Linked DNA regions of Saccharomyces cerevisiae S288C. The protein of the gene in region 1 interacts with the protein of each later gene in a biochemical or structural test. Each region holds a gene or a part of one and is shown in the gene's direction. Other genes may lie near its edges. The genes, in order: NCB2 and IKS1.

Evidence for each region.
Region 2: the proteins of NCB2 (region 1) and IKS1 form a complex in vitro, tested with the Saccharomyces cerevisiae proteins (one large-scale study listed by BioGRID).

Annotation. Positions count from the first base shown.
Region 1 is NC_001136.10:1,265,708-1,268,781, reverse strand, and holds NCB2 (negative cofactor 2 transcription regulator complex subunit NCB2), read left to right. Parts: upstream 1-1,883; coding exon 1,884-1,920; intron 1,921-2,012; coding exon 2,013-2,416; downstream 2,417-3,074. Other genes in the region: UTP5 (Utp5p), read right to left, coding at 1-1,311; SXM1 (Sxm1p), read right to left, coding at 2,624-3,074. UniProt on the Saccharomyces cerevisiae protein: Component of the NC2 complex which represses RNA polymerase II transcription through binding to SPT15/TBP and thereby inhibiting the assembly of the preinitiation complex.
Region 2 is NC_001142.9:327,566-331,976, reverse strand, and holds IKS1 (protein kinase IKS1), read left to right. Parts: upstream 1-1,855; coding exon 1,856-3,859; downstream 3,860-4,411. Other genes in the region: ZAP1 (Zap1p), read left to right, coding at 1-1,546; BIT61 (Bit61p), read left to right, coding at 4,104-4,411.

The DNA of each region.
Region 1 (3,074 bases):
TACCGTCCCGGTTGTCGTAGCAGTCTTGAGATTGGAACCTTTTAAATTTGTTTTTTTCCCACTAATCCTTGCGACGGTGCTTGATTCTAGCTTATCACCAAATGTTTCTGTTAATAGTTCATTGGCCTGTGGGGGCTTGGCCTGTTCTTGTTCCAAAGAAGTCAATTCTCTTTCCCAGCTCTTTATAGCGTCATCAACATGCTTGAAGTTATCTCCAGAGGTGACTCTTGCATTACCTTCCACGTAGTTGGTGGCTGAGGCAAGATCTTTACCGTGTAGATCGCGATCGGCGGACTTATTTTTATTATTCCAATTTAGGGAAATTTCGACGGTATATTCATTAGGGATTTCTCTCCACTGCAAGTTCTTGAAGTAAGGCATAGTAGCATTTTGTAACCACGATACGTTCAAAAGGTCTTTATTAATAAATGCGTTATAAATTGGAACTTTCCTGCCGTCTTTACTGACGATTTGAATCTTTTTGCTGGATTTTTTGGACTTGTTGCCTCTTTTCTTTGTTGAACTCGATACCAATGGATCAACAAAAATTTCCAAGCTACCATCCTCGGTAGTGACTGCGATAGAATCGGCTTGGCCTGAATGAGATAACTCCTTGATATCTGATTCAGCCACAAGGACGCATTTGGTCATACCGGAATGAATATCATATACGTTCAAGAATCTATCACCCTCTGCGCCTGATATGAAAAATTCATTAGTTATAACTTGCAATGTGGACACTGGAGATACATGACCGGGAAATGTCATTACGACTTTTTTCTCTTCGATGTCTATTAAAGAAATGGAATGGGATGCAACCAAAAGTTGTGCAACAGAATCGCCTGCTGGAACAATGGTTAGTTTATTCAATTGAACGCAGTTGTTTATTCTAAAATGTTGTAACAGTTTGAATTGTAACAGATCGAACTGATAGAATGCGTCGCTGGAGTCGATACACCACAGTTGATTACCCATCAAGTCTATGTCTTTGATTTCGTAAGAATTCCCCGTAGTGAATTTATAGGTGACTTCGTTGGCCAATACGGAATATAGCCAAATTTCACCGTTATTCATACCCAATATAATAGCCACTGTGTCGGAAGAAGCCAGGTTTACCCATTTTAAGCACGTCACCTTCAATTTCGAGTCCTCTAAATACAGAAAATTCTCATTCCACACTGTATCAACTCCGGAGGAAGTGGCCCTTTGAGTGGGCTGTACACCAACGCGTTGCTTGTCCAAAGCTACAGTGACATAACACAAATACTGACCTGATGGGTCATAAGCGGACTGTAGAACAGGAGAATCCATCGGTAATGAACAATTATAAGGCAAATGTGTCTTTTACCCTCTTGCTAAGCCAAGTTTAAACTATATATGCTCTGCATCTATCTTTACATACATATATCCTATCCAATACTTGTTAATTTTTTCACCTCATCGCTTCAGCTGCGAAAGATTAGAAAAAGAAATGAAAAAAAATTGGATAAAATTTTTTTGTCAAGAAGCTCATCCCCGTGTTAAATGACAATCAAAGAATAAGGGGAACTGTACAACACGTTCAACCAAAACTATTGTAAAGAAATGCCACCACTATGCAGCATAGCCTGTTCATGCGAATAGTCGCCGCAAAAATTACGATCTGGTTTAATCAGCTCGGGCTCTTATCTTTGGCGTATTCCAGTATGTGCAATTAACTCTTGCACCACTTTAAAACGCCCAGCCCGCTGCACTCTCCCTCCTATATAAATGGAAGCGGTTTTTGGTCGCGCTTTTCGCCCTCTGCTCGCCTTGTCGATTTCTATCGTGCAGAGTTACCAGTATAAGGTGGGCAAGAAATCATAACGATATTTACTAATACAGTTGTACCTATTAATTAATTGATGGCTGGAGACTCCGATAATGTGTCGCTTCCCAAGGGTATGTTAGTTATATTGTTGTTGCAAAACTCAAGCTTTGATGCGGGTACTGAGCGGTTATACTAACTTAGAGAAAACACTGAATGATCTTAGCGACCGTACAAAAGATGATATCTGAAATACTGGACCAGGATTTGATGTTTACCAAGGATGCAAGAGAAATCATCATCAACTCCGGCATAGAATTCATAATGATCCTGTCCTCGATGGCTTCCGAAATGGCGGACAACGAGGCTAAGAAAACCATAGCGCCCGAGCACGTGATCAAAGCGCTAGAAGAGTTGGAGTATAATGAGTTTATACCATTCTTAGAGGAAATATTATTGAATTTTAAGGGTTCCCAGAAGGTGAAAGAAACTAGGGATTCCAAGTTCAAGAAGTCAGGTCTCTCGGAAGAAGAGCTGCTACGACAACAAGAGGAGTTGTTTAGACAGTCAAGGTCCAGATTACACCACAATAGTGTATCTGATCCGGTTAAGTCGGAGGATTCTTCTTGAATAGAAGCTTCTAAACAAAGTAATGCTATATACGAAAATAAACCACATGGGAATATGTTAAGCGCATGCATGTATGTAATAAAAACGAAGACAAGTCCAAAAAAAAAAAAGAACGAAAAAGAAACAACTTTTATATTTGTATATTAGAGTATAAACTAATATCCTTATTTCAAACTATCACATTCCACTATTTTTTTTGTGTTCTCCTCAGTGTTGAGAAACAAATTCCAGAATTACCTGCAAGGAATCTCTCTTAGATTCATCCAGATAATTTATGATTTTTTCGTACTTACCGGCATCTTCGTTTTGCAAATTCTTGAAAAAGGTATGTACTTCCTGGAAAACATTAATTTGGTCTAACACTGTCTCCTTCATATCATCATCACATTCGATAAAGTATTCTTCTTCTTCTTCTGGGGTCAGGTCTCCTTCTAAGGATTTGCCCTCGGTAACAGCATCACGGTTTCTAATTGCCTTTGGCAATGATAATGTCAATTCCACCAGTTTATTGGTCAGGTTATTTAGTAGTGGGCTGACACTATTAGGAACTTCAGGCATCTTCAAAAGGGTTAAAATGACCAGGACTTGTAATTTGATGGCGAAGACACTGTAGAACTTTTCATTAAACCAATTGGTAAAGAAATTTATAGTAAAACCT
Region 2 (4,411 bases), on another chromosome or scaffold:
TCATGCTTATCACGAACATATCTTAAATACTGATATGGATTTGAAGATTTTGGAAGATTTATGCAATATTTCTTCTTTGTATGAAGTACCGTTTGGAAAACACATTAACCACCACGACCACAATAATGCCGGTAACGGCTGCGATGGTTCGAGCACAGGAAATAATGAAAACGGTAACCAAACAATGAATCTTCTATTATCAAGCATTAATAGATGCAACCCTAAAAATAATCTTAATGGAAGCAATAACAATACGGCTGGAGCAACTTCAACTGATCATCAACACCATCACCATAGAATACAGTTTCATTCTCACAAACCAAATAGAAACAATATTGTGAACAATTCAGGGATTAGCGCGGCGAACACAACAGCCGATCTAACTAACAACGATTTAAATGACTTAATTTCAAGAGAGTATAGTTATGAAAGATTTAGAAATCAAAGTGAGCCCCCTTCGCTACCCAAAGTCACTCATCAGAATCAGAAAAATCGTAGATCTTGGCCTACAAAAGATCTAGAATCTACTGATTTCAGCTCTTTGGAAGACTCATTACCTTCTAGCATCTCTCCTCCTATACAGACAACAAGCACTATAAATTTCAACTGGTGTTTTAAAGAAGAGAAAAACAATGACTTAAAATGCAAATGGAAAGAATGTCCTGAGTCTTGTAGCTCACTATTTGACCTACAAAGACATCTTTTGAAGGATCATGTCTCTCAAGATTTCAAACACCCTATGGAACCATTAGCTTGTAATTGGGAGGACTGTGATTTCCTTGGAGATGATACATGTTCCATAGTGAACCATATTAATTGTCAACATGGTATCAATTTTGATATTCAATTTGCCAACCCAGACTCATTTTTGCCTGGTAGTATATCAAAGGAAAAACATCACTTACTACATTGCCCCAACCCACAAACACACGAAGTTTCTAAAGCAGATGGAGCACCTGATATGACGTCTGCAAATGATGTTTCCAATATACCGCCAATCAAGCAGCCGGAACAGGTGATTTGCCAATGGGATGGTTGCAATAAGTCATTTTCCAGTGCTCAGGAATTAAACGACCATTTAGAAGCAGTACATTTAACCCGGGGTAAGTCTGAATACCAATGCTTGTGGCATGACTGCCATCGTACGTTCCCCCAAAGACAAAAATTAATCCGTCATTTAAAAGTGCATTCGAAATACAAACCTTATAAGTGCAAGACATGTAAAAGGTGTTTTTCAAGCGAAGAAACTTTAGTTCAGCATACCAGGACACACTCTGGCGAAAAACCTTACAAATGTCACATTTGTAATAAAAAATTCGCGATTTCAAGTTCTTTGAAGATTCATATAAGAACCCATACTGGTGAAAAACCTTTACAATGCAAGATTTGTGGTAAGAGATTCAACGAATCGTCAAATTTGAGCAAACATATTAAGACCCATCAGAAAAAATACAAGTGCTCTGACTGTTCCAAAAGCTTTGACGATTTGGGAAAATTGAACTCACAGAAAGTGAAATGCGCATTGGAAAGAAAACCATATTTATAAATGTGATCATCATGGTCCAACGTAAGAAGGGCGGTTTTCAGGATCACATAAATGCATAATTAGAAACATTTCATATTTTACCTAGACTACTTTTTATTTATAATTTTTCGCAAACTCTTTTTTGTAAGCTTTTACAGTACACTTTTTTTACGTAATAACGTATTTCAAGCTTTATTTTTTGTATACGTTTCAGAAAAGGGGGTGGGGGGGAAGGACATTGTATATATAGATCCTATGAGTGACAACTAGGTAACCGAAGAAACACTATTAGATATATAGTTTGAGGGATAGCATAAGTAGAACTTAGAAATGAGTTTAGTACCATATGAAGAAGGTTCGCTGATTTTAGATGATCCTAATTCTAAATCAGTGGTGGTTGTTAATCCAACCTCAGGAACTTTATCATTTTTCCAACAGGACAACAGTAATAATGACTCTGAACTAAATGAAGACCAGACTGCATCTTTATCAGCACTGGACTTTCCTTCAGGGATTCATCAATACAAAAGCCCTATTGCTTCCTATGTGTGCCCGCAATGTGGTACGGAAATTAACCCTGATATTATAAACAGAAGACAACTTCATCGTCGAGCCTCTGCTGGAGTAGAATCAGAAAGCAGTAGGCTCAGTATTCCAGAGAACACTGTGCCACTTGGATTTGAATTTGCCAATTCAAGCTTTTCAAGAAGATATTTTCAGTCATTGGAAAGAAATCATCGGCACTACGCCCTACAAAACGATAGTAACAATAAGCAGGGACAGTTCAGCAAAAACAAATACTTTATTCCAGATGATTTGTTTATCCCCGGATACTTTCGTAAATTTTTCAAAATATTGTCTTTGCTGGGAAATGGTGCAAGAGGTTCTGTTTACAAAGTTGTACACACAATTGGTAATACTGAATTAGGTGTTTTTGCACTAAAAAAAATACCTATTGGAAATGATATGGAATGGTTTAATAAGTGCATACGGGAAGTGAAAGCGTTGAGTTCGCTAACTCACAAAAGTGCCAATTTGATTACGTATAATCATGTGTGGCTCGAAATGGATTCTTCGGTTGGATTTGTCAGATCCATTGATGGGAGCCAATCGGATTCACAAGAAGAAGTTCCTTGTATTTTCATTTTACAACAGTATTGCAGTGGCGGCAATTTAGAAGACTGTATTCTAAGAAAAGTGTTCAATAGGTTCTCAGATACCGAATCACCTGAAGAGAGGAAAAAAAAATTTAGAACTCGCAAGAAAAATCACGGTAAATCAGGAGAAGTTGGCCTATCTACGGAACAGCTCGTATCCATTATAAGGGATATTGCAAGAGGTTTACACGAACTGCACAGTATTGGCCTAATACATAGGGACTTGAAACCATCCAACTGTTTATTATTGACTCCATTTAAAAGTGACAATGAGAATGACAACGTATACGACAGGGAACACAATTCAGATGAGTTTTTCCCATCAATTGTTATTGGCGATTTGGGGGAAAGTCAGTTGGAAGGAGAGTCCAGATTGGGTACTGGTTGCACAGGAACATTAGAGTTTACAGCACCAGACCTTATTATCCAGGGGAGACCAGTTTCTTCTTCTACGTTGCCTTCAAGATCGAGTCACACATACAATGAATACACCTTTGCTTCCGATATGTATTCTCTAGGAATGATTTGCTATTTTATTGTCTTCGGTGAATTGCCCTTTGAACCACAGTTGGATATAGTTGATTTGAAGGTACGCATCAAAAATTTTAGGTTCGACACTGAAGGTATGATTGAAAAGCATCAAGCGATGAAATTGAAACCAATAGACCGTAGAATATTTCACCTAATGGACGCTCTTTTACAACCAAATAATGATGCTAGACCCACAGCGAAGACAGTGGAGGAGACGTTAGATGAAATGCTAATAAATTCCAAACCCGGCAAAAAATTCTGGAAAGAAAATGTGGATAGCACTTTGAACTTCAGTACAATCTCGGAAGTGAATGAGAATACCAACAGTTTTACTGATGATTATATTGACGGAGACAACGTTACTTTATCATTACCAGCACCAGAGGAAAATTTGAGCACCGTATCAACCCAAAACCTCCAAAAGTATTCTGCTTTAAATAGAACAATCCAGGTTTGTTACAAACTAGTTTCTATGATATTAACGATAATCATATTTAAGTGTACCAAAACGGGGTCGTGGCTCTCTTATATGTCACTGATATTGTTGGGAATGGTTTTTAAATCACCAGCTGATGAAAGAGGTAAGCATGCAAGAGCGTTGGTTTTACTGGCCTTCATCGCCGCATGCAAAAAATACATATACTAACAATAAGTACACATTGCAAACTAAATAGCACGTAATTTATTTTTACTTTACAAATTTATAGAAAATATTCTCGCTTATCACCAATGTTCACGAATCATCTTCACCTCTTCTAAGGGCCGGTGACAAAGGTGCATAATGTTAGAAAAATTGACCGATGAGTAAATTTATAGAGGGAATAACCAAATGAAAAGATCTAGGTGACAGAAACGCCAATTGACCTCTGTAGAAATAAAGTTCTTTCATTATGACAGCAGAAGATATACTCCTTCGAGAAAGAACATCTACTACGACACAACGCCCTGTCAATAGCGAACAATACCTTAATGTGCAATTAGCCACAGCCCCAGTAAAAAATTTTCAGACTACAAGCGAGATTAGCCGGCAAACTCTTGTAGACACATCAAATGATGACGTTTATTCCATCAAGAATTTGAAGGGCTCGAGGAACCCCATTAGCCCTAGTGTTTCTAACGTTGGCTTCCAATCCATATTCCATACAGTAGATCATCCTCGATCGAAGGTCAGTGTGGCCTCAAATCATTCCTTGAGGAG